Elephas maximus indicus: one gene and its partners. The protein of the gene in region 2 purifies or fractionates together with the protein of the main gene of each other region. This does not show direct contact. Links are inferred from orthologs where the notes say so. Each region holds a gene or a part of one and is shown on either strand. Other genes may lie near its edges.

Region 1 (7,687 bases), on a different chromosome or scaffold from region 2:
GCATGCATATACGTAAAAATAAATTCACCGTGGCACTAACAATAGTATTAAAATCTGTGCAACAATAAGTGGTCGGTTAAATAAATTTTAGTACTACTAAACTATGAATTATTAAATCATTTCAGAAAATTATGTACTGTATAATCCCAGCTTTTTTTAATAACATATATTCACAGAAAAACATACCTGCATAGAAAAAATTCTAGAAGTATACACCCCAAAATGTTAGCAGTGATTATCTCTGTAAAAAAATAGTGGAATTATTTGATTTTTTTCTTTTTGCTTTATCAAAAGCACCTAATTTTTCTATAGTAAGCTGGCCTGTACATGGATAATGACATACATTCTTAATAGGCAAAAGCAAAATCGAGGATCACAATTTAAAGGTAAAAGTGCCACCATCCTAACAGAACAGGGAACATTCCCATGTTCCATAATAATGGTGTCAGACAGAGATAACATCAAACAAGACATCAACTTAGTATTCACTAGTCATTTTTAAGTAATTCTAGGAACATATATGGAAGAATCTGTTAATACTGGCATTGTAAGACAACAAAACAAAAGACCTCCCAAATTAAAATTCAGTACTATTTCTAAAGACAGTACTGAAAATCACACAGTAACAAATCTCAACTGTTGCCAGATGAGACCAAAAAAACTGCTGCCGTCGAGTCCATTCCGACTCATGGTGACCCTACAGGACAGAGTACAACTGCCCCACACAGTTTCCAAGAGGCAGCCGGTAGATTCGAAATGCCAACCTTTTGATTAGCAGCTGTAGCTCTTAACCACTACACCACTAGAGTGTCCTTCAAGTTGAGGGTCAGCTTAAATCACTTTTTCATGCCTTTTCACAATTATCTTGAGAACCCTCACTCTCATGAGGGATGAAACATATAGTCAGTAAAAAGACAGATTCCTTAAGTCATTCTAGAAATGCATATTATAAGCAATGTGTGCACATATCCAGGCACTACGTACAATTTCTAGCAAAGCTCAGGGAACTGCCTATGGCCATGCAGAATGCTGCCTAGGAACTGTTTGCCTGCTTCAATGTGACCTGTAACCTAGCCAGTTAGTAAATCTCCACTAGGACAAATCCATAAACTATAATTTTCAATGAACTGACTGGCATAAAATGAATGACCATTTCAAACTGTTTATGACAAAAAAAAAAATCAAACAAATGGTTCTACTTGTACCCATGTAATTATTTTGCAGTAACTTCACACCTATACAATACGGCTTGCATGTCATGTGTTATAAGCACCATACCCCTTGAAACCCATTGCCATTGAGCTGATTCCAACTCACAGCAACCCTGTAAGACAGAGTAAAACTGCCCCACAGGGTTTCCAAAGAGCAGCTGGTAAATCTGAACTGCTGACCTTTTAGTTACCAGCTGAGATCTTAACCACTGTTGCCACCAGGGCTCAACAAGTCCCATAGATGCTTCCAATAGGATTTAATAGCTGCTGTGAAGGTACAAGAAGCACTGAGCACACACAGTACAGCTTTAAGATTCCTTTAAGCCCGTATTAGCAATATCTTTGATGAAAGCAATATTGTTGCAGAAGAAAATTTTCTAGTAGAAGGAGAAAAATCAAAGAACTTCGCATAAGGGAGAGAGTTAATGTTAACAGTATTTGTATAAAGCAAATGTCACATAGTACCAAAACTGACAACACAACTCTGGTTATTGTTGAAAAAATGGAGATCTCCTTGCTTTACTGATAAGCCTAGCACCATTCCGCAAATTCAGGAAAACTATATCCAAAAACTGGACTAGGCCTGGGGACATAAGAGTAAACAAGCAAAGTCCCTGCTTTCGTGGAGCATACAAATCTAACACAGGAGACAGACATATTTAACGTATTTGAACGTAACTGCATATTCCATATGTGATGAAATAAAAAGGCGGGGTGATACAAGGGCATTTACTATCCTAGGTTTCGAGAATGGCTCCCTATAGAAGTGAGCCAAGCACAGGCAAGAGGAAGAGAGGTCCAGGCAGGAGTCATCTCCTGTGCAAAGGCCATGCAGCCGCAACAACCTTGGTCCAATCTAGGTTCTAAAACAGTCCAGTGTAACTAAAGCATTTACGTAGACTGTTTCTTAGCAAACATTAAGTGTGAGACGTATAAAGACATCCAAATTAAGAGATCAAGTTGGTAACTGCGATGTGAGTCTCGAGCTCAGAAGAGAAGGTCTAGACGAAATATAAACTTAGAAGTCACTGGCTTACAGATAGTGTGTGACACACAGGAACTGCGATTTAGACAAGGTGAACGAGATTGGGGGCGGAGGATTATTTCCTCAGATTACAGGGGGAAAAATTAATCACTTCTCTCTTGATTTGCAATCAAAGAAATAAAAGTATTTTCTAACATTATAGTTATGATATAATGGCATATTTATTCAGAAAGGATAAAATTAAATATATAAAGTTCTTGGAGAACTGCTAAGCCCTAAAACGATACTTCTTCCATTGAGTCTAAGGTATATCATATTATACAGTTTATTTAGCAGAGCATTTCCTTCTAGCCTTTTCTAGTGCCCTAGAAAAGGAAACTCTTTTTACCCACTGATACAACTACTTCACAAGATTTGTCACTAGAAATGCTTCCAGCCTGCAGAATTGGCACCTGCTAAAGCTGTATCACTATCACAGGCATTCTGAACACACCAACGAGTCCCACAAGAATGTGACCTCAAAAAGAATAAAACTTCTGCTCGCACACTCAAAAGTTAACATCTTTCAAGACCATCACTACAATCCTAAAACAGCCTGCCCTGTCCTGTATAGTCTCCTATGATGAAGATATGGTATGTAATTGCTCTAAAAAGCGGTGGTCAGGTTTGAGTTATAGAAAAGCTGAATTAAAATATTCTACAGTTTATGGCCAAAGCACCATATAAGCATGGCATGCCTTAATACAAACTCACCTGATTTATTTGAAGCATGTTAAGACAATATTGACCAAACTGCTATACCCCTCACGGCTCCAAAAACTGGAAAGTGAAAATGAAGAAATAAAGTTCAACTTAGTCAGTGACCTCAATGATTAGCATTTTAAACACATGCCCTTGATCAAAATCAAATATAAAATGGGAGTTGATACAGATCAGTATAGAACTTTCAATGATGATGGAAATAGTCTATATCTGTACTGTCCAACCGAGTAGTCACTAGCGACATGTGGCTACTGCGTTCTTGAAATGTGGCTCCCGCAACCAAAAAAGTAAATTTTTTAATTTATTTAATCTGAATTTGTTTAAATTTAAACAATATAAAGTATGTGGTTAGTGGCTACCATACCGAACAGTGCAGATTTAAATTGAACAAAGCCCCTTCTACCTCTAGAGTTTTAAAACCCAGCAAGAGTGAAGCTATTAAAAAAAAAAATCTTAAAATTTAGTGTAAACTCCCCTTGCTCTAGTTAGGTTTGAAACAACGTTGTTCCCATTCTCTATAAGACAAATTAAGCCTGAAGAAGATGCAACACCCGCAATGTTCTCTTTTTTAAAGAGCACATATAGTAAGATTACCTAGCTAGATTTTCTTTTCTTTTTCTCTAACTGTATACTTCTACTATTGTTATTTATAAAAATAGCATGCACATTAAAATTCAACACAAAATTTTCACCAAAAAATCACCCATAGTCTCACCACCCTGACATATATCCACTGTTACATCTGGGTTTGTTTCCTTCTGGGTCCAGCCCTTTCCTCCTGGTTTTATTTCTTTCCATGTGGTAAATCTCCTCTACACTTAACTCAGAAATACATGTTAAAGACGGGCAGGAAAACCCAAATCTTAAGTAAATAAAGTGTGTGCCCTTATAATAGGAAAAGTCTACACAAAATATAAATTATGTATAAATCCCCCAAAACATTATCTACAAAGCAACAACAGTCTTGATATACAGCAAAAGTGCTAAGTCCAAGCAACAAAGTATACATATTTATCACTGTGTAGAAATTTTTATGCTCTAAAATTTTCTCTTAGAAGCAAAGGTTCTTAAAATACTTGCGTGTGTGTGTGTGCCCATGCAAGAAATTTCAAGACATACACATACACACACACATATATATACATACATATCTGTATTACCACTTTCTGCAGATGACAAATTGGGGTCAATTCAAAACGACTATGCAGGCCCTCAGTATATTTCTTACAAGTGTCCTCTGTATCTGTATCAATTTTCATTTATTTTTTAATTATTTTCCCATTTTCTAATAGGAAGAGCACAAGGCATGGGTACCAGTGAATTTGAGTTTTAGTCCTAGCTCTTCAGGCAATTATGTCTTGAGCCTTGGTCACATTAACTTGTGTATCTGAGTTCTTAATCTTTCTCCTTGGTTTTTTATTTCTGTTTTGTTTAATCTTTAAAACGTAAAGTCCTTGTGGTAGGCAGCTCTAACGAATACAGTACAGCAGAAATAACGAGATACCACTTCCAAGATTAAATTATAAAAAGACTGTAACTTCCATCTTGGATACTCGCCCTTGCTTTTTCTGTTACTCACTCACTTGCTCTGAGGGAAGTTAGCAGCCATGTTGTGAGCTGCCCTCTGGTGAGACCCACGGGGCAAAGAACTCAGGGAGGCTTTCACAAACAGCCAGAAAGAAACTGAGGCCCTCAGTCCAACAGCCCACAAGCAGCTGAACGAATCCTGCCAATTGCCACATGAATGAGCTTCAGAGCGGACCTTCTGCCAGTAGAGCAGCAGATGAAACTGCAGCCCCAGCTAACAGCTTGACTCCAAACTCATAAGACCCTGAACCAGAAACACCCAGCTAGGCTCCACCCAGACTTCTAATTCACACAATAAATGTTGTTTTTAAGCCCTTAAATTCAGTAATAATTTATCATGCAGCAACAGTTAACTAAGACAATGCTGTTCAGCTCTATAATTGTATGTAATCCTACAGTGCTTTGTGCTGAAGCACTCACTCATCTATGCCAAGAAATGTAGAAGACAGCTACCTGGCCAACTGACTGGAAAAGATCCATATTTGTGCCCATTCCAAAGAAAGGTGATCCAATAGAGTGCGAAAATTATTGAACAGTGTCATTAATGTCACACACAAGTAAAATTATGCTGAAGATAAATTCAAAAACGGTTGCGGCAGTATATTGACAGGGAACTGCCAGAAATTCAACTCAGATTCAGAAGAGGACATGGAACGAGGGATATCACTGCTTATGTCAGGTAGATCTTGGCTGAAAGCAGAAAATACCAGAATGGTGTTTACCTGTGTTTTAATGACTATGCAAAAGCATTGGCTGCATGGATCATAACAAATTACAGATAATACTGCAAAGAATGAGAATTCCACAACACTTAACTGTGCTCATGCAGAAATGTACATAGACAAAAAGGCAGTTATTCAAACAGAACAAGAAGATACTGAGTGGTCTAAAATCAGGAAAAGTGTGTGTCAGGGTTGTATCTTTTCACCTTCCTTATGCAATCTGTATGCTGAGCAAATAATCCAAGAAGCTGGACTGTATGAAGAACACAGCATCAGGATTGGACGAAGACTCATTAACAATAACAACCTGCATTACGCAGATAACACAACTTTGCTTGCTGAAAGTAAAGAGAACGTGAAGCACTTACTGATGAAAATCAAAGACTACAGCCTTCAGTATGGATTACACCTCAACATGAAGAAAACAAAAATCCTCACAACTGGGCCCACGAGCAACATCATGGTAAAAAGAGAAAATACTGAAGTTGTCAAGGATTTCATTTTACTTGGATCCACAATCAACAACTATGGAAGCAGCAGTCAAGAAATCAAATGACGAACTCAAGAAAAATTTTAAACACAGAAGAAAATATCCTTTGATGATTACAAAGGTGGGGAGGGAGAGAGGGGTATTTACTAATTAGACCGTAAACAAGAAATATTTTAGGCGAGGGAAAGACAATACACAACACTGAGGAGGTCAGCACAACTGGACTAAACCAAAAGCAAAGAAGTTTCCTGAATACAACCAAACGCTTTGAAGGCAAGAGCAGCATGGACAGGGGTCTGGGGACCATGGTTTCAGGAGACATCTAGGTCAACTGGCACAACAAAATGTATTAAGAAAATGTTCTGCATCCCACTTCGGTGAGTGGCGTCTGGGGTCTTAATCACTAGCAAGCAGCCATCTAAGATCCATCGATTGGTCTCAACCCAAATGGAGCAATGGAAAATGAAGAACTCCAAAGAGACAAAGTAAGTATGAGCCCAAGAGACAGAAAGGGCCACATAAGCCAAGACTCCATCAGCCTGAGACCAGAAGAACTAGATGGTGCCCGGCTACCACCAACGACTGGACTGACGGGAAACACAACAGAGAATCCCTGACGGAGCAGAACAGTGGGATGCAGACCTCAAATTCTCATAAAAAGACCAGGCTTAATGGTCTGAAGCTGGAGGGACCCCAGAGGTCATGGCCCCTGGCCGCTCTGTTAGCCCAAGATTGGAACCATTTCCAAAGCCAACTCCTCAGACAGGGATTGGACTGGACTAAAAGACAGAAAATTATACTGGTTGAGGAGTGAGCTTCTTGACTCACATAAGACTATGTGGGCAGCTCCTGCCTAGAGGGGAGATAAGAAGGCAGGGGGGAACAGGACCTGGTTGAATGGACACAGGGAATACAGGGTGGAGAGGAGGAGTGTGCTGTCACATTAGAGGGAGAGCAGCTAGGATTACACAGCAAGATGTGTGTAAGTTTTTGTATGAACGACTGACTTGATTTGTAAACTTTCACTTAAAGCACAATTAAAACAAGAAAAAGAAAAATGTCGTATTGCATTGGGCAAATCTGCGGCAAAAGACCTCCCTGAAGTGTTAAGCACAGATGTCACCTTGAGGACTAAGGAGTGCCTGACCCAAGCCATGGTATTTTTAATCACCTCATACATATGTGAAAGCTGGACAATAAAGAGTAAGGAAGACCAAAGAATTGACGCCTCTGATTTATGGTGTTGACGAAGAATGACTGTACCATGGACTGCCATATGTCCTGGAAGAAGTACAGCCAGCATGCTCCTTAGAAGCAATGATGATGAGACTTCGTCTCATGTACTCTGGATGTGTTATCGGGAGGGAACAATCCCTGGAGAAGAACATCATGGTTGGTAAAGCAGAGGGTAGTGAAAAAGAAGACTCTCAACAAGATGGACTGACACAGTGGCTACAACAATGGGCTCAGAGCAACAACTGTGAGGATGGCACAAGACTGGGCAGTGTTTTGTTGTATTGTACACAGGGTAGCTATGAGTCGGAACTGACTTGACAGTCCCTAACAACAGTGCTTTAAGTATTAATGAACTTATTTCAACAAGCCAAAAAAATAAGTTTCCTGCTCAATCGGAGCAAATTAGTAACATTAAGAATTTGAAAGCCGTAAATTAAGAAACCTAAACATTTACATTTTCAATTCAAAATAGAGTGCAACATTATTCAAATGGTGTTAAAATATACTAGGTATAACTAACAATATAGACCCGACTGTCTCTTTTTTAATTGAAAATAATTTATTTGGAAGCTGAAGTGTGAATAAATCACTAAAAGCATTTCAGTGATTTATTTTTACTCTTTAGAATTCAACATTATTTAGATCTCAACAACTTTGAGAAACCCCTTTTGTTTTCACTTAATATAAGCCTCTA
Region 2 (7,715 bases):
AGGTCTTTTGCAACAGATTTGCCCAAGGCGACACGTCATGTGATTTCCTGACTGCTGCGTCCATGGGTGTTGATTGTGGATCCAAGTAAAATGAAACCCTTGACTTCAATCTTTTCTCCATTTATCATGATGTTGCTTATTGCTCCAGAATAACATGGTCAGTACCCAGCTGTTATTCTAATTGCAGTAGGAAGCCACTGGAGGGCTCTAAGAAGAGGGGTGATGTGATCTGACTTACGTTTTTGACTGATCTCTCTGATGCTGGTGAAGAACAGAGTATGGGCGTGGGGCATGAACATGAGTAGAAGTAAGGAGACCACGTGAGGCTCCTGCAGTGGTTTAGGTGACAGACAGTGGTAGCTGGAAGCAGGGCACTGGAAGTCCCTAGAGTCTGAGAAAAGGAAGCACATTCACATTACAGCCTGGAATTGGAGAAAGAGCTTAGGCATTAGAGCGACACAGACCTGGACTAGACACCTCTGTGGGCCTTTGACTCATGATCTGAAAACAGGAATAAAAATGCCTGATTCGCAAGATTGTCATGAGGAATAAGTCAGATATAAAGTCTTTAGCAGAATCCCCCACCCCACCCACATAACTGGCCTCAAAAGGGTATACCAGGTCTGCAATCCCAAACTCCAAATAGTTCTGATAACTAGGGGTTTTTGTTTGTTTATTGTTAATTTATTCATTTTGGTAGGTTTGGAGCTACCTGTGTTGACCTGAACAGTCATGAGCCATTTAGAGTCTCTATTATACTTTGTTACCTATATAACTTGTCACTGCAGAAATACTAATATGTTTTATTATGAGGTACCGCCCCAAATCCCTCCAAGGGCATTCTATAATAAGTAGTATTTACACTGCATTGCCTTTCTAAAATCCAAAAATCTCTGAATTCTGGAACAAATCTGGCCCAAGGGTTTTGAATAAGGGACTGTGAACTGCACCATTATTTTCAGGAACCAACGTGTCATTTAGTTAGTCACGACCATGAGGCCACATATCCAGCTGAAGGGGTCACAGATCTCAGAACTGCAGTGACAAGAGAGCCCCTGGCAATTATACTCTAAAGTCCTATAGAATGCTCCAAATCCTCAGTACAACCAGTTTGAACATGCGTGAACACATGAATGTATATGTAAACTAATAAAGTGCTGCACTGGTATGTTTGAAACAGTACTTTTGAGTTTGGAAGCAAGGAAATAGGTTTCTTTTTAATTATCTTTGACAAATCTGGTTTTAATTCTATGTTATCATTTTCAGAAAGGAGATCTCCACCATACTGACTAACAAATATTATCTGTCCCTCTTATTCATGTCCAGAAGTTTCTTTGGCTATGCCCACCTTCCCTGCCAGCAAACTGGGAGCCCTCCGTAGACCAGACCACCTCCAGAGTCTGCACAATGCTTGGCCTATAACATGCATTCAAATAATACCTAATTAATAAATGACTAAACTACAGGTTGAGTGTTATGGATCTTCTGGTTCAAAGAGGCAAAATGAAGAACAAGAGTATAATCTGTCCAAGATTAAATAGTTTCTAACTGACAGCTGAGAGTGTATCTTTTAGCTTCCATTCTGGCAAGGTGTTCTTAGCACTAAGGAGAACATGAGCAAGAGGATATCTCATTATTCTGGAATTCAAAAGAGAACTGATGAGTTACCATTCATTTAACAAATATTTATTGAGCATCTATTATGTACCTGGCACTGAGGTTATGCCAGTGAAAAAAACACATAAGTCCCTGCTCTTGTGGACTTATTTACTAGTAGAGGAACAGATAATAAACTTATAATAAGTATCAGAGTGTGATAAGTTCTATGGTGAAAAACAAAGCAGAGTAAGGGAGACAGAAGAGTAAGAGTGACAGAGTAAGCCAGCAGGAGAGAGAGGGGGATAAGACGGGCAGGGTGGTGGTGTTTTCATACAGTGTTCAGGGAAGGCCTCTCTGACAAGGTGGCATTTGAGGAAGCACAGGATGAAGCTAGGAGCTGGTCCATGCAGGTATGGGGCGGGGAGGGGCGAAAGCGGAAACAGTGCAAAGACCCAAACGCAGCAGTGTAACAGCGAGGACGCTGTGTGGAGGGAGCGAGAGGGCTCGTTTGTGGGCCCTGACAAGGCCTGAAGACAGGATTCTTATGAGAAGGGAAGCCAGTGGGGGAGTACCTGGCAGGTGAGAGTTGGCTCTGATTTACAGAACACTCTGATAGCGGTGTTGAGAAGAGGTAGCGGGTCAGGTAGAGGCGGAGCAGGTGCCGGGCTAGCGGGTGGGACACCACCGTGACTGTCTAAGCAGGAGATTTCTACCCACGGACTATTAATCAAGCTGTGGCTACTTCAGGCCTCCACACATTCCCCATGTCAAGTCGTTGGGCCTATCCTCACCCCCTCCGCCGGCCTGGGAGCGATGTATGAATCGCTCTGATAAAAATTCTCACCGCGCTCCACGACCCTCAGCCCACATCCGGGAAGGGCCCCGCACAACCGCGGCGGGGCTCTGACCGCTCTCCCGGCGCTGGCTCCGGGGGCCTCGTACCAGGGTCTGCATTCCCGGCGGGGTCGCGGGATCGGCGCGCGCCTCCGCCCAGCCGCCGGGCCGGGCCGCCGGGCCGGGCCCCCCGCCTGTCCCCGCGCTCGCCCCGCTGTCCGCCTGCCCGGCCGCCCCCGCGCTCGCCCCGTGCCCGCTGCTCCGGCCTTACCGCCTGACGACTCCGCTCAGCCCGCGCTGCTGCTGTCCGCTGAAGCTCTGCGGTGTCTGAACAGCTTGCTCTCAGTTTCGTTTTCCCGGCGAACCCCGCCTTCCTCTGCGGCGGCCTAGCCAGCCGCGTGCCCGCACACGTCCGCATGAGTTCCGGGCTGGGGGAGATTGGCGCCTCCACCCGCAGGCTTGCGGGGGACGCCGCGGGGCGGGCTGGGCAGCAGGGGCAGCCCCAGTGTGGAGAGAAGGCCTCCAGGCAAAGGGGAGGACGCAAGGTCCCCAGGCGCCAGCAGCGGTGCCAGGCACTCGTCTGGGATCAGAGATCCCAGTTAACTCCTCCACGCAAACATTTTGGCTGGCTTTGGTGGCGGTGGGCAAGTGGATATTATCAGCTCCATTTTACAGTAGAAGAAACTGTAAATTAACACCCCGGGGTCCTGCCGCTGGTAAGTGGCGACGCCAGAGTGCAATTCAAATCCAGGCCAGTAAACCTCAAAGCACCCCTTTCCAACACTACTGGCTCTCTCTCATGCCTACAAAGCTGGAAATGAAGAGGCCTGGGGACATAATTTCCCTTCAGTCTGTTTCCACTCATCCTTCCAGGGACTGATTACCCGATATGCAAGGTAAGCACATGTTTAGGATGTCAACAAAACAGGGGCACCAGGTGTCCAAAGCAAAGACCCGTAGATGCCAAGCGACAGGACATACAGAAAAGCGAGCGCAGCAGTGGAAGGGAACCAGCAGGGCGCCAGCTCCAGGGCATGAGACTGTGCCAGTCAGTTCACACAGCGTCATGAGGGAGCCGCACACGTGGCAAGGCTGTTTAAATTATGAGGTTTCGTTTTGTTTTTGTTTTTGTTCCACTTAAACACCTTCTTGACATCTTTCTCTTTCAGAAGCAGTTGGGTTTTTTCCTACTGTTCAGTTACCCTATACATTCTTTGTCACCTCTACTCACTGATGGGCGATTCTTAAAACATATTTAGGCGATGATGGAGTATTAAAATGTCTTTCTAATACGCATTGGGAAGCACATGCTGTAGCAACAGGTACAATCTTGGAATCGTACATTTATATTCTAGACGCTTTAGAAAATATTGCTGAAGACTAGACACAAAAAGGAGCTACCAAAAGAGAAGCTGAAACATTGCTAACAAAATGCAAACCCAGGCATACTTCCTTGTATTGCGCTTCTCAGATATAGCATTTTTTTTTTTTTTTTACAAATTAAAAGTTCGTAGCAACACAGCATTGAGCAAGTCTGTCGCCACCATTTTTCCAATAGCACGTGCTCACTTTGCGTCTCTGTGTCACATTTTGGTAATTCTTGCAATATTTCAAACTTCTTCATTATTTTATATCTGTTATGATGGTCTTTGATGTTACTAGTGTAATTGTTTTGGGGTGCTACCATCTGTACCCATATAAGATGGCGAACTTAATGGATAAATGTTGTGTGCTCTCCACCAGCCATTACCCATCTCTCCCTCTCCTCAGGCCTTCCTATTCCCTAAGACTTGACAATATTGAAATTAGGCCAATTAATAACCCTACAGTGGCCTCTAAGTGTTCAAGCGAAAGGAAGATTCAGATGTCTCTCACTTTAAATCAAAAGCTAGAAATGATCAAGCTTAGTGAGGAAGGCATGTTGAAAGCTGAGATAGGCCAAAAACTAGGCCTCTTGCACCAAACAGTCAAGTTATGAATGCAAAGGAAAAGTTCTTGAAGGAGATTAAAAGTGCTACTCCAATATCCAGACACCTTGAGGGACTAAGTTGCTGGGGCTGGGGCTGGAGACCATGGTCTCGGGGGACATCTAGGTCAATCGGTATAACACAGTTCATAAAGAAAATGTTCTACATCCTACTTTGGTGAGTAGCGTCTGGGTCTTAAAAGCTTGTGAGCAGTAATCTATTGGTCCTATCCCATCCAGAGCAAAGGAAAATGAGAAAAAAAAACAAAAAACAAAGACACAAGGAAAATATTAACCCAAAGGATGAAAGGACCACATGAACCAAAATCTCCACCAGCCTGAGCCCAGAAGAACTAGATGGTGCCCAGCTACCACCAGCAACCACTCTGACAGGGATCACAACAGAGAGTTCCGGACACAGTGGAGAGAAAAGTGTGGAACAAAATTCAAACCCATGAAAAAAGACCAGACTTACTGGTCTGACAGACACTGGAGGAGCCTCCAAGACTACGGCCCCTGGACACTCTGTTAACTCAGAACTGAGACAACTCCTGAAGCCCACTTTTCAGACAAAGATTAAACCAAAAACCAAACTTGTTGCCATTGAGTCGATTCTGACTCATAGCGACCCTGTAGGACAGAGTAGAACTACCCCATACGGTTTCCAAGGAGCACCTGGTGGATTTGAACTGCTGACCTTTTTTTGGTAAGCAGCTGTAGCTCTTAGATTAGACAGGCCTATAAAACAAACAATAACATATGTAAGGAACGTGCTTCTTAGTTCAGATACCTGAGACCAAATGGGCAACACCAGTCCAAAAGCAAGATGAGAAGGCAGAAAGGGACAAAAAAAACGGACAAATAACACAAGGAACCCGAGGTGGAAAGGGGGAAAGTGTTGTCACTTGTGACAAAACATCAGAATGTCACAAAACAATATATGTATACATTTTTGAATAAGGACCTGAAATGAGCTGTAAACTTTCAGCTAAAGCATACACACACACACACACACACACAAAAACTCTCTAAAGCTAAAAAAGAAAATAACCGCCCCCCCCCCCCAAAAAAGTGCTACTCCAGTGAACACATGAAGGCGAAACAGCCTTATTGCTGATATGGAGAAAGTTTTAGTGGTCTGGATAGAAGAGCAAACCAGCCACAAAATTCCCTTAAGCCAAAGCCTAATCCAGAGCAAGGCCCTAACTCTCTTCAATTCTATGGAGGCTGAGAGAGGTGAGGAAGCTGCAGAAGAAAAGTCTGAAGCTAGCAGAGGTTGGTTCATGGGTTTAAGGAAAGAAGCCATTTCCATAACATAAAAGTGCAAGGTGAAGCAGCAAAGACTGTTGAAGAAGCTGCAGCAAGTTATCCAGAAGACCTAGCTAAGATAATTGATGAAGGCGGCGACACTAAACAACAGATTTTCAGTGTCGACATAGCAGCCTTGTATTGGAAGAAGATGCCCTATAGGACTTCCATAGCTAGAGAGGAGAAGCCAACGCTTGGCTTCAAAGCATAAAAGGGCAGGCTGACATTTTTGTTAGGGGCTAAAGCAGCTGGTGACTTTAAGTTGAAGCCAATATTCTTTTACCATTCTGAAAATCCTAGGGCCCTTAAGAATTATGCTAAGTCAACTCAGCCTGTGCTTTATAATGGAACAACAAAGCCTGGATGACAGCACATCTGTTTACAACATGGTTTACTAATATTTTAAGTCCACTGTTGAGACCTACTGCTCAGAAAAAAAGATTCCTTTTGAAATATTACTGCTCATTGACAATGCACCTGGTCACCCAAGAGCTCTGATGAATATGTACAAGGAGATTAATGTTATTTTCATGTCTGCTAACGAAACATCCATTCTGCAGCCTATGGATCAAAGAGTAATTTTGACATTCAGGTCTTATTACTTAAGAAATGTATTTCATAAGGCTGTATAGCTGCTCTAGATAGTGATTCCTAAGATGGATCTGGGCAAAGTAAATTGAAAACCTTCTGGAAAGGATTCTCCATTCTAGATGCCATTAAGAACATTCATGATTCATGGAAGGAGATCAAAATATCAACATTAACAGGAGTTTGGAAGAAGTTGATTCCAACCCCTGGATGACTTTGAGGGGTTCAAGACTTCAGTGGAGGAAGTAAGTAACTACAGATGTGGTGGATATAGCAAGAGAACTAGAATGAGAAATGGAACCTGAAGATGTGACTGAATTGCTGTAATCTCATAAAACTTTAGTGGTTGCGGAGCTGTTTCTTATGGATAAGCAAAGAAAGTGATTTCTGAAGATGGAATCTGCTACTGGTGTAGATGCTGTGACCATTGTTGAAAACAAAGGATTTAGACTGTTACATAGACTTAGTAAAGCAGCAGCAGGGTTTGAGAGGGTTGTCTTCAGTTTTGAAAGTTCTACTGTTGCAAAACTGTTGTGGCTCCTATAGGACAGAGTAAAACTGCTCCATAGGGTTTCCAGGGAGTGGCTATTGGATTCGAACTGTTGACCTTTTGGTTAGCAGCCAAGCTCTTAACTACTGCACCACCAGGGATCCTAATAGACTAAAAAGAAAAAAAAGACTACAGTATAAACATAACTCTTATTTTTATTGTGATTTAGGTGGAAGTTTATAGCTCAAGTTAATTTCTTATACAAAAATTTATACACATATTGTTATGTGACATTAGTTGCAATCCCTATAATGTGACAGCACACTCCCCCTTTCTACCCCAGCTTTCTTGTGTCCATTCAACCAGTTTCTGTCCCTTCCTGCTTTTTCATCCTGCCTCCCCCCATTTGGTTTAGTGTATGATTGAACCAAGAAGTACACTCTTCATGAGTATTATTTTATGTTTTATAACCTAGTCTAATCTTTATCTGAAGAGTGGGCTTTGGGAATTTTTTTTTAATTTCACTTTTTTTTTTTATTGTACTTTAGATGAAGGTTTACAGAACAAACTAGCTTCTCTTTAAACAGTTAGTACACACATTGTTTTATGACATTGGTTAACAACCCCATGACATGTCAACACTCTCCCTTCTCAAACTCGGGTTCCCTATTACCAGTTTTCCTGTCCCCTCTTGCCTTCTAGTCCTTGCCCCAGGGCTGGTGTGCCCATTTAGTCTCGTTTTGTTTTGTGGGCCTCTCTAATCTTTGGCTGAAGGGTGAACCTCAGGAGTGACTTTATTACTGAGCTAAAAGGGTGCCTGGGGGCCTTACTCTCAGGGTTTCTCCAGTCTCTGTCAGACTGGAGAAGTCTGGTCTTATTTTGTGAATTAGAATTTTGTCCTGCACTTTTCTCCAGCTCTGTCTGGAACCC
Region 3 (6,965 bases), on a different chromosome or scaffold from region 2:
GACACCAAAAGCATAATCCTAAGGGAAAATATTGATAAATTGAATTTCATCAAAATTTAAAATTTTTACACTTCAGAAGGCACCATTTAGAAAATGGAAAAAAAAAAAAAGCCACAGTTTGGGAGAAAATAAACTGCAAATCACATCCTTGCATCCAAATACATAAAGAACTCTTACAACTCAAAAATATGAAGACAAAAAACCCAATTACAAAATGAGCAAAAGGTTTGAATATATTTTTCACCAGAAAAGATATACAAATGGGAAATAAGCACATGAAATGAGGTTCAATATTTGTTGTCTTTACAAAGATGCAAATTAAAACCACAATGAGATATCACTACACATTCAGCAGAATAGCTATAATAAAGATAATGATAATAACAAGTGTGGGTGCAGATGTGGAGAAACTGGACCCCACATACATTGTGATGCCATTAACAATGTTTAATAATTTTAATATTAATAATTTTTATATCTTCCTGATGCATCGGCCCTTTTATCATTGACTACATGAGTTTAGACAACTGCAATGGAGTTTGCCGAACTGCAAAGTCTGAGAGAACAGACTGCAAGACTGCCCTACCTTCAGATACCACCTGCAAGTTCTGGGTACTCAGGGCCGTCCTCACTTTAGACCAGTTTGGCAGTTCCTCAAAATGTTCAAGAGAGTTACCATATGACCTAGCAATTCCACTCCTAGGTATACACCCAAGAGAAATGAAAACATATATCCACACAAAAACTCATACACAAATGTTGATACCAGAATTATTCACAATTAGACTCTGATGGTGCAAAGGGCGTGAGGGGTCCTAAAATCAAACTGGAAACAATCCAAATGTCCATCAACTAATGAATGGATAAACAAAATATGGTCTATCGATATAATGGATTCTATTCAGCATTAAAAAGAAATGAAGCAGTAATACATGCTACAACTTGGATGGACCTCAAAAACATGCTAAGGAGAAGATGCCAAATGCGAAGGACTACACATTGTATGATTCCAAAAGACAAATTATTTACAGAGACAGAAAACAGGCTAGTGGTTGCCCAAGGCAGGGGGGAGCCCTGGTGGCGTAGCGGTTAAGTGTTACTGCTGCTAATCAAAAAAAAGGTCGGCAGTTGAAATCCACCAGCCACTCCTTGGAAACCCTTTAGGGGAGTTCTACTCCATCCTATAGGGTAGCTATGAGTCGGAATTGGCTCACAACAACCGGTTTGGTGGTTTTTTTTTTTTAAGGCGGGGGTGGGAGTGAGAATTTACTGCAAAGGAGTGATGTGGAGTGATGGAAATTTTCTAGAACGGGATTGATGTAATGGTTACACAACTCTACACTTTTACTAAAATCATTGAATTGTACAATTACAATGGTGAATTTTATGGTATGTAAATTATAACTCAATAAAGCTGTTACAAAAACAACCAAAGTGAGTAGAAATTGGTGTAGCAGATTATCTACCTGGACCTTATACAAATACGGGAGAACTGACAATAGGAGGATGGACTGGGTCATAAGTAACACTGCACATTCATGCACACATACACAGTTCACTTTTCAGACCTAGTGCTTCAAGGTCCAGAGCACGCCCTCCCTTTCCCCCTAGACCAAAGGTCATTTCCTGTTTGTGCTCCCCCAAACTGCACCATTACACATTTTAAAACTGTTTTGGTGTCTGCTTGGTGGACTAGACTGCAGCCTCTCCAGGGCAAGGACAGTACCTTCCTCATCTTTGTAGTTCTGATGCCCAGCCACTGCTAGGAACAGAGCAGGCATGAGCCAATGTTTGTCAAATTAAAAGAAAATTAGGAGGGGAGTTACTTTGTACCAAACAAGTTTGAAAGCATGAGTTGGAACACAGAGATGCTACACATCTTAATTTGGAAGTCAGACTAAACTTGTTCTTAAACTGAAGAAGTACACACCAGGGTAGAGTCTGTGTATCACCTCAAATTTAAACATATCTGCCTTGGATAGGGTCAAAAATTTATGTTTATCTCAAAGCAATCAGTTCACAAACAATTCATTAAATTTTCTAAGATTAGTCTGCTCAGCAAGCAAACTATTAGAGAAACCTAATTTCCCTGCAGATACCTGGCGGGATTTGCACAGAAGCCCAGATGGTTTGAGTACAGCTGGGTAGAACTACCTAGCTGACGCTGCAGAGGGCGGTGGGCTCCAAAGAAGCTGGGGTCAAAGCAAATTTAAGCCAGTTTCTCAGGCTTCTGGCTCCCATCTCAGAAAAGGAACCCAGCAGTAGACGCTGGACATCTAGAAACAGGGGTAAGCCAGGGCTGTCGCCAAGGCCAGAAAGAACAAAAAGAGAAAGCAGATATTTTTCAGAGCCCTCGGAAGTGTGGGGGTTGAGAGGAGAAAGACGAGAGACACTAAGGGTGGGGGGACTGGGAACTGGGATGGTGGGGAGTCAGGGAGAGATGGTGAGGGGTACTCGGCTTCGCTGCAGGTATGTTGGGAAACGTCTAGGGAAGAGCGGCGCTCAGGTAGGTGAAGAGGGCGGGGACAAAACCTGTGGCCAGAGGGTGAGAAGGTCCTTGATGATTTGCACGCGGGGGCCTGAATCTTGGGGTGCCGCGGCCCTGATTTTCGGGGGAGGGGACTCACGGTGCCTCGGCCGTGGTGAGGAACACTAGCCCCGGAGTCACCGCGCGCGTCACGCGAGGGGGCGGGCCGGGCGCCAGGGGGTGTGACTGTGACCCGCGAGTGTGGTCCGCGGTCCGCCAGGCGCTCCCGCCACACACCTCGGGCCGAGCAGGCGGGTGACGGGCTTCTTGCCTCTGAGGCTCCTGGACTCACCTTCCTCCCTCCCCGCAGGTTGGGCCCCGGACACCGCTTCCCACAGGCGGCGCGCCCCGTCCGGTTCCCGGCCCTCCCGCTCCTCCGAGCTGTTGTACGGCCCGGCCCCTCCGCCGTCCGCGGCCTCCGCGGTGCCCAACGTGGGATATTCCATCTTTCCCGCAAGCCCAAACCGGCCGAGAGCCACTCACGCGCCTTGGTCTCGCGAGATGTGGGTCTAGGGCCACTATGCCCGGCCAACAAATCTCGCGAGGTTTGGGTGCCGCAGACCGCGTCGCGGCGCCCAGTGTGGCACCTTTATTCTGTGCTGCTACTGGAACCTGGGAGCATTGGTTGTCGGTAGGCAAGCCGGTGTCCGGGGCCACAGCAGCCTCTCTCTACGGGAAGGGCACGTGCGACCCGTGGCTCTGGGTCCTCACCTTGCCTACGGTCAGCCTTTAGCACTCGCATTTCTTTCTCACGAACGCCCTGTTATCTGGAAATATTTTCCCCACTTTACTGGTAGAGAAACTGAGGCCCAGAACCAGGAATTGGTTTAATCAAGAGTGCTACTAGGAAGTGGTAGAGCCGTGGCTTTATCTCCATGATTCGATTACTGCTAATATGTCGAGTTCCTCAGCCTAGACCTTCCCCTGAACTGCAGACTTCTACATCCAGTTGCCTACTTCTCCAACGTAACTGTCCAAATCCGAAATTTTATCTTCCAACCTCAGACCTGCTCCTCCTCTCATCTTCTGGAGCCACCAACTCTTGCCTAGATTATTGCAGTAGGCTCCTCACTGTTCTTTTTCTTGGCCATCAAGGACCCAGCAGTCCAGGGTTCCTCTTGTAGCAACGATCATAGTACTCCTCTGTGCAAATCCTCCAATGGCTGCCATCTCACACTTCATCAAAGCCAAAGTTCTTACCTTGACCAACATGGTCCTCCACAATCTGACTCCCTTACCCTCCCTGGCCTCATTTCCTTTGTTACTCAGCTTACACTTCCTTCATTTCTACCGGGATCACACTGGCCTCCTGGAATGCATTTCCCCCAGATGGTCTCAAGGCGCAATTCCCCGCTTCTTTCCCTGGCTACCCTACCTAAGAATTCTCTCCTTCCATGCTGAGGACCTGCGTTGGATTGCTGGCCAGTGCACCTCATGGTGCAACCACCCAGCTGTCAGTGTAGGCTTGTGTGTTGCTATGATGTTGAACAGGATTCAGTCCAGACTATGTCGGACTAGGAGGAAAGGCCTGGTGATCTACTTCTAAAGATTAGCCGATGAAAACTCCATAGAGCTCAATGGTCAGGGGTTGTGATGAGTCTGGGCTGACTTGATGGCAGCTAACAACAGCAACACTACCAAAAATTTCTCCCCTGGCTACCCTATCTCAAATTTTACCCCTTTATCCACACTTCATGTCCACCTTTCCTGCTTTTTTTTCTCCTTAACACATCATTATTAGACATAGTATATATTTTACTTTTTATCTTGTTTATTGTCTCCCCACTAAAAGGCAAGGCTCAAGGAAGAAAGGGTGTTTCTTTATTTTGTTCTCAGCTGAATCCTCATCACCTTGAAATAGAGCTTGGCCCAGAGCCTTGTTGTTAGGTGCCGTCAAATCGGCTCCAACTCATAGAGACGGCATGTACAACAGAACAAAACGTTGCCAGGTCCAGCATCATTCTCACAGTCGTTGCTATGTTTGAGCCCCTTGTTGCAGGCACTCTGTCAATCCATCTTGCTGAGGATCTTCCTCTTTTTTGCTGACCCTCTACCTTACCAGGCGTGATGTCCTTTTCCAGGGACTGGTCCCTGCTGATAACTTGTCCAAAATATGTGAGATGAAATCTCGCCATCTTCACCCCCAAGGAGGACTCTGGCTCTACTTCTAAGACAGGCTTGTTTGTTCTTCTGGTGTCCATGGTATATTCAATATTATTTGCCAATACCATAATTCAAAGGCATATGAATTCTTCTTTGGTCTTCCTTATTCATTATACAGCTTTTGCATGCATATGTTTTGTTCGTTATGCCGTCGAGTCGGTTACTACTCATAGTGACCCTATCTGTGTACAACAGAATAAAACACTGCCCAGTTCTGCGCCATCCTCACTATCATTGTTATGCTTGAGTCCATTGTTGCAGCCAGTGTGTCAATCCATCTCACTGAGGATCCTATTTTTCACTGACCCGCTAGCAAGTGTGATGTCTATCTCCAGGGACTGGTCCCTCCTAATGACATGTCCAAAGTATGTGAGATGAAGTCTTGCCATCCTTGCTTCTAGTGAGCATTCTGGCTATACTTTTTCCAAGACAGATTTGTTCATTCTTCTGGCAGTCCATGATGTATTCAACATTTTGGCTAACACCATAGTTAAAAGGCATCAGTAATTCTTCTGTCTTCCTTATTCATTGTCCAGCTTTCAAATGCATATGAGGCCATTGAAAATACCATGGCTTGGACCAGGCGCACCTTAGTCCTTAAAGTGACGTCTTTGCTTTTTAACACTTTAAAGAGGTCTTTTGCAGCAGATTTTCACAGTGCAATACATCGTTTGATTTCTTGACTGCCGCTTCCATGGGCATTGATTGTGGATCCAAGTAAAATGGAATCCTTGACAACTTCAATAGTTTCTCCATTTATCACGATGTTGCTTATTGTTATTGATCCAGTTGTGAGAACTTTTGTTTTCTTTATGTTGAGGTGTAATCCCTACTGAAGGCTGTGGTCTTTGATCTTCATTAGTAAGTGCTTCAAGTCCACATTCAGCAAGCAAGGTTGTGTCTAATGCATATTGCAGGTTGTTAATCTTCCTCCAATTCTGATGCCGCATTCCACTTTCTCAGATTATTTACTCAGCATACAGATTGAATAGGTATGGTGAAAGGATACAACCCTGACGTACACCTTTCCTGACTTTAAACCACACAGTGTCCCCTTGTTCTGTTAGAACAACTGCGTCTTGATCTATGTAGAGGCTCCTCATGAGCACAATTAAGTGTTCTAGACTTCCTGTTCTTCACAATGTTACCCATAATTTGTTATGATCCACACAGTCAAATGCCTTTGGATAGTCAATAAAACACATGTATTCTTTCTGGTATTCTCTGCTTTCGACCAAGATCCATCTGACATCAGCAATGATATCCCTTATTCCACATTATCTTCTGAATCTGGCTAGAATTTTTGGCAGTTCTCTGTTGATATACTGCTGCAACTGCTTTTGAATGATCTTCACCAAAATGTTTACTTGTATGTGATATTAATGATATTGTTTGATAATTTCTGCATTCTGCTGGATCACCTTTCTTTGGAATGGGTACAATTATAGATCTCTTCCAGTCAGTTGGCCAGGTATCTATCTTCCAAATGTCTTGGCTTGGGCTTCTTCCTTCAGTACCATTGATTCTTGATCATATGCTACCTCCTGAAATGGTTGGATGTCGACCAATTCTTTTTAGTGCAGTGATTCTGTATTTTCCTTCCATCTTCTTTTGATGCTTCCTGAGTTGTTTAGTATTTTCCCCATAGAATCCTTCACTATTCCAACTTGAGGCTTGAATTTTTTCTTCAGTTCTTTCAGATTGAGAAGCACCGAGTGTGTTCTTCCCTTTTGGTTTTCTATCTCCACGTCTTTGCACATTTCATTATAATACTCTACTTTGTCTTCTCAAGCTGCCCTTTGTAATCTTCCGTTCAGCCCTTTAATTCATCATTTCTTCATTTGCTTTAGCTACTCTGTTTTCAAAAGCAAGTTTCAGAGTCTTTTCTGATGTCCATTTTGGTCTTTCCTTTCTTCCCTGTCTTTTTAATGACCTCTTGCTTTCTTCACGTATGATGTTCTTGACGTCATTCCACAACTAGTCCAGTCTTCAGTCATTAATGTTCAATGAGTCAAATCTACTCTTGAGATAGTCTCTAAATTCAGGTGGGATATACTTAAGGTTGTACTTTGGCTCTAGTGAACTCATTCTAATTTTCTTCAACTTCAGCTTGAACTTGCATATGAGCAATTGATGATTTGTTCCACGGTCAGCCCCTGACCTTGTGCTGACAGATGATACTGAGTTTTTCCGTCATCTCTTTCCACAGATGTAATCAATTTGATTCCTGTGATTTCCATCTGGCGAGGTCCATGTGTATATAAAAAAAAATGTG
Region 4 (7,274 bases), on a different chromosome or scaffold from region 2:
GATTGAGACCAATTGATGCATCCCAGATGGCCACTTGCTAGCATTTAAGACCCCAGACCCCACTCACCGAAGTGGGATGCAGAATGTTTTCTTAACAGATTTTATTATGCCAATTGACCTAGATGTCCCCTGAAACTTTGGTCCCCAAACCCCTGCCCCGGCTGCTCTGGCTTTCAAAGCGTTCGGTTGTATTCAGGAAACTTCTTTTGCTTTTGGTTTAGTCCAGTTGTGCTGACCTCTCCTGTATTTGTGTGTTGTCTTTCCCTTCACTTAAAATAGTTCTTGTCTATCTAATTAGTGAATACCCCTCTCTCTCGCCCCCCCAACCCTTGTAACCATCAAAGAATATTTTCTTCTGTGTTTAAACTTCTTCTTGAGTTCCTATAATAGTGGTCTCATGTAATATTTGTCCTTTTGCAATTGACATTTCACTCAGCATAATGCCTTCCAGATTCCTCCATGTTATGTTTCATGGATTCATCATTGTTCTTAATCATTGCGTAGTATTCCATTATGTGAATATACCATAATTTATTTATCCATTCATATGTTGATGGGCACCTTGTTTGCTTCCATCTTTTTGCTATTGTAAACAGTGCTGCAGTGAACATGGGTGTGCATATATCTGTTTGTGTGAAGGCTCTTATTTCTCTAGGATATATTCCAAGGAGTGGAATTGCTGGATCGTATGGTAGTTCTAGCTCTAGCTTTTTAAGGAAGTACCAGATCAATTTCCAGTGGATGTACCATTTCATATTCCCACCAGCAGTGTATAAGTGTTTTCAGTCTCTCCACAACCTCTCCAACATTTATTATTTTGTGTTTTTTGGATTAATGTCAGCCACGGGTGAGATGGTATCTCGTAGTTTTGATTTGCATTTCTCTAATGGCTAACGATCATGAGAATTTCCTCATGTGTCTGTTAGCCGCTTGAATGTCTTCTTTGGTGAAGTGCCTGTTCATATCCTTTGCCCATTTTTTAATTGGGTTGTCTTTTTATTGTTGAGTTTTTGCAGTATCACGTAGATTTTAGAGATCAGACGCTGATCGGAATTGTCATAGCCAAAAACTTTTTCCCGGTCTGTAGGTAATCTTTTACTCTTTTGGTGAAGTCTTTGGATGAGCATAGGCATTGGATTTTTAGGAGCTCCCAGTTACCTAGTTTCTCTCCTGGTGTTTGTGTATTGTTAGTAATGTTTTGTATACTGTTTATGCCATGTGTTAGGGCTCCTAGCATTGTCCCTATGTTTTCTTCCATGATCATTATTGTTTTAGATTTTATATTTAGGTCTTTGATCCATTTTGAGTTAGTTTTTGTGCATGGTGTGAGGTATGGGTCTTGTTTCATTTTTTTGCAGATGGATATCCACTTAGACTTCGGGGTCTTTGTCAAATATTAGCTGTTCATATATGAATGGATTTACGTCTGGATTCTCAATTCTGTTCCATTGGTCTATGTATCTGTTGTTGTACCAGTACCAGGCTGTTTTGACTACTGTGGTGGTATAACATGTTCTAAAATCAGGTGGCATGAGGCCTCCCACTTTGTTCTTCTTTTTCAGTAATGCCTTAGTTATCTGGGGCCTCTTTCCCTTCCATTGAAGTGGGTGATTTGTTTCTTATCTCATTAAAAAATGTCGCTGGTGTTTGGATCAGGATTGCATTGTATCTATAGATCGCTTTGGGTAGAATAGACATTTTTACATGTTGAGTCTTCCTATCCATGAGCAAGGTATGTTTTTCCGCTTATGTAAAGTCTCTTGATTTCTTGCGGTAGTGTCTTATAATAGTTTTCTTTGTATAGGTCTTTTACGTCTCCGGTTAGATTTATTCCTAAGTATTTTATCTTCTTGGGGCCTATTATAAATGGTATTGATTTCGTGATTTCCTCTTCAATGTTCTCTTTGTTGGTGTAGAGGAATCCAACTGATTTTTGTATGTTTATCTTATATCCTGATACTCGGCTGAACTCTTCTATTTCAGTAGTTTTCTTGAGGATTCTTTAGGGTTTTCTGTGTATAAGAGCATGTCATTTGCAAATAGAGATACTTTTACTTCTTCCTTACAATCTGAGTGCCCTTTATTTCTTTTTCTAGCCTAATTGCTCTGGTTAGGACCTACAGCACGATGTTGAATAAGAGTAGTAATAAAGGACATCCTTCTCTGGTTCCCGTTCTCAAGGGGAATACTTTCAGACACTCTCCATGTGGGATGATGTTAGCTGTTGGCTTTGTATAAATGCCCTTTATTATGATGAAGAATTTTCCTTATATTCCTATTTGGCTGAGACTTTTAATCATGAATGGGTGTCAAATGCCTTTTCTGCATCAATGCTTGATAAAGTTTTGTTAAATGATCGAATGAGGCAGTTTCAGTGGAATATGTAGGTGCTCTAGTTAAGGGTAAGTGCTGAATAACAGAGAAGCACAACATAAGGAACCCCCTACCAGAGGGGGAGAAGGCTTTACTAGGAGGTAAGAGTTGAAGCAGGTCTTGAAAGACTACTAGGAGCTCACCAGAAGCAGTAGAGGGAGTACATTTTCTAGTCCAAGGAATCAGGCAGACAAAGGCACAAAAGGGAGAGAGTATGGCCTACTGAGAAATTTGAAATTTGGGATGACTAACAGGGTGGACTGGATTCCTGGGTGGTGCAAATGGTTACATGCTCAGCTACTAACCGAAAGGTGGATGTTTCAATCTACCCAGAGGCACCTCAGAAGAAAGGCCTGGCGATCCACTTCCAAAAGATGACATCCATTGAAAACCTCCTGGAGCATAGCTCTCCTCCCACACAGACCAGGTTGGCTCCATGGCTACTGGTTGGTAACTCGGTAGATGGAATGAGAGGTCAGTGGTGATTGGTTGGTTGGTTGATAACTGGGTAGATGGAACGAGAGGGCAGTGGAGATTGGTTGGTTGGTAACTGGGTAGATGGAATGAGAGGGCAGTGGAGATTGGTTGGTTGGTTGGTAACTGGGTAGATGAAATGAGAGGGCAGTGGGGATTGCTTGGTTGGTTGGTTGGTAACAGGGTGGAAGGAATGAGAGGGCAGTGGAGATTGGTTGGTTGGTTGGTAACTGGGTAGATGAAATGAGACGGCAGTGGGGATTGCTTGGTTGGTTGGTTGGTAACAGGGTGGAAGGAATGAGAGGGCAGTGGAGATTGGTTGGTTGGTTGGTAACTGGGTAGATGAAATGAGACGGCAGTGGGGATTGCTTGGTTGGTTGGTTGGTAACAGGGTGGAAGGAATGAGAGGGCAGTGGAGAAAGGCTCAGCTGCAGATGATGCTGTGAAGGAACTGCCTTGTAAACCTCATAGGCAGTGGGGATAAAATTGAGATTAAACAGAAAAATGAATTTCTCACAGGTAACTGGGATTGTCTGTAGAATTTTTTCCTAAACATCTTGAACAAACTAGAGCAGTTATATAAACCTGATCATGAAATAAATTGAATTTTTCTCCTCTAAATAACAAACAAAAGTGGGTATTATGACATGGAATTTGAAATAATTTAAACGCTAGTTTTTGTTTTTGTTTTTTAAACAATGGTGTAACTGGGACGAATGGAGAGTGGTGGTGAACGGTAGGCTTTCCCCAGTCTGACCTGGACGTAACAGCAGTGTGGCCTTAGGCAAGCCTCTGTTTCCACATCTGTAAGATGGGAATAATGCCTCCCCAGTAGAGCTGTTGTGAGGACTAAATGCGATAACGCATGTAAAGTACTTAACTCTTGCCTGAATAGATGAATCGTGCTGGTGGCCTGAGATAATTTTATAATATAGATCCCAAATTGTACACTGCTGTTATTATTACCTTGCTACTTTTTTTTACTATTACTGGCTGGTATCCCTTTACCTCAGTTTCTAATACGCTAGGAATGTTAATAGATAGTCTATGACCGGGACATTTAGTCATTTAAGAGCTGTGCTCCCCGCCCCCTTTTACCTTGAGAGAGGCATCATCACATTAACGCCGCGACAGGGAGACCGGCGAGCAGAGCCTCACGCTGCTTCTCCAGTGCTGAGGCTTCACTGTGTCTTTGTTTTCCTTCTGCTTTATCCCACGTATTCCTGAGAGGGCTGTGAGGGGAATTATGAGCTCAGTGAAGTTGTATTTATAGCTGTTTTCCTAAAGAAATAATACGTTCCCCACTCTTACGCAAGAAAGGGATCAGATCTGTAATCGGCGCCGGCGCCGTGAAAGCGGAGGGCTCACACTAGATTTGCCTAAACTCCTCCTCTTGGCCAAACTTTCCGAAGGGGAAGTCTTTCTGAGGAAACGAAAGCGAAACTGAACTGGAGCCATTTTCGTAGTTGCGGCCCTGCTCTCAGGGCTGGCCCCGAGAGGTATTTCCTGTCCCAACGGCCCCCAGGTGCCCCTTGCTTACGTGAAACAGCAGTTGGGAGCCCGGGCCGCTGCCGCTCCCAGAGGTTTGCAAGGCTGAGCCCGGGGGAGGAGGGTCGTGCTGCCGGCTGGCAGGCAAGGGATGCCTGGGGCGGCGTGATGGACCCGCGACAGGTGATCTGGCGACAGGTGAGCGGCGACCGGCCACACAGACCCATGGGATCGCTCCAGAAGGGGACCCTGTCTCTGGAGCCTTGGACTGGCCCTAAAACATCACGTGAATTTGGTGCTTTAGTCCATGACATATGCGTGTTGTTTTAAAGTGTTTTCATTTTGCTCTTTTTCTTGCTGAGTAAAACTGCCGTTCTAGGAATTTGTACCATGCTAAGTACTCTGCTGCATTGAGCGAAGTGCGGAGGAGCGCTTGTGTGGAAAATGCGCCCAAGTCTGAGTAGCCAGCCTGAGGTCACGTGAAAGCAAACACCCCCTTCTCATTGTCTCTAGGTCCCTTTGCTGCCCCTGCCTGTTTTTCCACCTCCTGAAGGGTTTGGGGGAAATTATAAGTAGCTCTGTAGGAGAAAGTTTATAGCAGCATTATTCATTATTACTAAAAACTGGAAAAACTAATTGTCCTTCACCAGCTGAAGTGATAAACTGGGATAGCATCCAAACAAAAATGGAGTACTGCTCAGCAATAAAAAGGAACAGACTACTGTATTGGCAACACCGTGGATGAATCTCAAGTGTCGTAGCTAAGCAAAAGGGGCCAGACTCCAAAGGCTACATACTGTGTGATTCCATTTACGAGACGTTTTGGAGAAAGCAGAGCTGGCTATGGGATGGGAACAGAAAACAGATCAGTGGTTGCCAGGGGCGGGGCGGGGTGGGGAGGGAATCCACAGCAAAGTGGGGAAAATGGAAGTGTTCTCTGTCTTAATTATGGCGGTGGCTCTAAGGCTATAGGTGCTTACCAAAACCCATAGAATTGTACACTAAAAAAGGTCAATTTTACTGTATGTAAATTATTCTTATAGTTTTTAAAAAGCTGACTCATGGTGACCCAATATGTCAGAGTAGAACAGTGCTCCGTAGGGTTTTCAGTGGCTGATTTTTCAGAAGTAAATTGCCAGACCTTTGTTCTGAGGCACCTCTGGGTGGACTCAAACCCCCAACTTTTTGGTTAGCAGCCACGTGCATGAACCATTTGCAGCACCCAGGGACTCCTTAAAAGAATTCCTATTGCCATCGATTCCGACTCATAGCGACCCTATAGGGCAGAGACCCTATAGGACAGAGTAGAACTGCCCCCATAGGGTTTTCAAGAAGTAGCTGGTGGATTCAAACTGCCAGCCTTTTTGTTAGCAGCTGTAGTCCTGACTACTGCACCACCAGGGCCTAAATTGAAGGAAAAGAATTTCTTCATGTATACCATTTGGAGCCTGTGTGGTAACCATGGGGGCTCATCTCTTGATCCTAAATATGTGAGACCAAATTAAAGTGAAATTGAGTGGACATTGAATGTTAAATGACGGTCACCTAGTTTGCGTAGTAAATAGATGTGGAGTGGAAGAGGGGAGCTGTTGAGAGCTTTAGGAATGATCACCATGAATTTCCTACTTTCTTCTTCTCACCTGCATTCACTGTGTATCCAGATGGCTTTTCTCATGTGGTGGTTTGTTTGGTTTGGCTTGGCTTTTAGGGGGTATTGGGGGCATAAGCGAGAGAAAGTTGTGGCAGTCTGCTTCTATAAAGATTTACAGCCTTGGAAACTCCATGGGGCAGTTCTGCTCTGTCCTGCAGGGTTGCTGTGAGTTGGAATCATCTCAGTGGCAGTGGGTTTAGGGGCTGTAAAGAAAATATTAATGATTCCCTCTTCCCCTAATCCTACTTCCCTAAAACAACCACTGTTAACAAACTCATGGTGCCTTCCCCTCTTCTGTTTCTTTGTGTTCATTATGAGACATACATACACACACATTCATGGGTTCTTTCCTTTTCTTTACCAGAAAAAAAGAGGTTATAACATATATGTTACTCTGCAACTTGCTGTTTTTGTTGTTCCATTTAACATTATATCATTCCTAAATTTCCTCCAGGTTAGTACAAATAGATCTAACATACTTAAAAAAAACCATGAATACTCTTCCATAGCATGAATGTATCATAATTTTCAACTCCTTTTCTATAGAGGCACATTCATGTATTTCCAGGTTTTAGCCAAGTGGTACCAGTTGAAATCTAGAAAGCATTAGCTAGAAACTGGCTTTGTCATTGTTTAGTGCTGTTGAGTCAATTTTCAGTTTGTAACGGCTCCATGTGTTACCGGGTAGAACTTCCCTGTAGGATTTTCTAGGCTGTAATCTTCACAGGAGCAGATCATCAGGTCAGTCTGCTCTGTAGCCACGGGTGAGTTTGAACCACCAGCCTTTGGATTAGCAGCCAAATACTTAACCATTGCGTCACCAGGGCGACTCAGAAATGACTGTAGACACTTTGAAACAGAGTTCTTTTTCCCAGGGCCACTCAAAGAGCTAGTCAGAAGACCCCTATAGTCGCAGTAATTCAGCTTTGTGAGCCGGGCACTCACTCTGCGCACTCACAGCTCTGCCCCCAGCGTCATGGGGGGGTGTGCTGCCTGCGGCAAGATGTGACTGCTTATGCAGCCACTAGTGGTGGTTCACGATCAACTTTGTACCAGGTGTTCTCTCAGGTGCTGGAGATGCAAAGGTGGTGGAAGCATAGTCCTTGCCCCTGCAGGGCTCGCTCTGGAGTCCATTGCAGCCCCCCATCAGTACTGCATGTATTGGGAGTAGAGAGTTCAGTATAATTTCTAGGATCAATATTGTTAATCACCTTTCAGATATACTGCAATCTATGTGTGCCATAATTTGAAGTAAAATATATATATATATATGTGTGTGTGTGTGTGT

Evidence for each region.
Region 1: the proteins of EIF2AK2 (region 2) and STAU2 purify together in Homo sapiens (affinity purification with mass spectrometry; 3 studies listed by BioGRID and IntAct, with this or other methods). This does not show direct contact. The link is inferred for Elephas maximus indicus from reciprocal best matches to the Homo sapiens genes EIF2AK2 and STAU2.
Region 3: the proteins of EIF2AK2 (region 2) and ZNF346 purify together in Homo sapiens (affinity purification with mass spectrometry; 3 studies listed by BioGRID and IntAct, with this or other methods). This does not show direct contact. The link is inferred for Elephas maximus indicus from reciprocal best matches to the Homo sapiens genes EIF2AK2 and ZNF346.
Region 4: the proteins of EIF2AK2 (region 2) and ADAR purify together in Homo sapiens (affinity purification with mass spectrometry; 3 studies listed by BioGRID and IntAct, with this or other methods). This does not show direct contact. The link is inferred for Elephas maximus indicus from reciprocal best matches to the Homo sapiens genes EIF2AK2 and ADAR.

The regions. Positions count from the first base shown.
Region 1 is NC_064833.1:68,282,232-68,289,918, reverse strand, and holds the start of STAU2 (double-stranded RNA-binding protein Staufen homolog 2), read right to left. Parts: upstream 3,020-7,687; 5' UTR 2,968-3,019; coding exon of another isoform or gene 2,950-2,967; intron 242-2,949; 5' UTR 193-241; coding exon of another isoform or gene 187-192; intron 1-186. UniProt on the Homo sapiens protein: RNA-binding protein required for the microtubule-dependent transport of neuronal RNA from the cell body to the dendrite.
Region 2 is NC_064844.1:27,162,870-27,170,584, reverse strand, and holds the start of EIF2AK2 (interferon-induced, double-stranded RNA-activated protein kinase), read right to left. Parts: upstream 3,003-7,715; 5' UTR 2,705-3,002; intron 392-2,704; exon of another isoform or gene 239-391; intron 1-238.
Region 3 is NC_064820.1:197,308,984-197,315,948, reverse strand, and holds the start of ZNF346 (zinc finger protein 346), read right to left. Parts: upstream 3,013-6,965; 5' UTR 2,974-3,012; coding exon 2,820-2,973; intron 2,724-2,819; exon of another isoform or gene 2,533-2,723; intron 1-2,532.
Region 4 is NC_064821.1:192,457,843-192,465,116, reverse strand, and holds the start of ADAR (double-stranded RNA-specific adenosine deaminase), read left to right. Parts: upstream 1-4,273; 5' UTR 4,274-4,503; coding exon 4,504-4,533; intron 4,534-7,274. UniProt on the Homo sapiens protein: Catalyzes the hydrolytic deamination of adenosine to inosine in double-stranded RNA (dsRNA) referred to as A-to-I RNA editing.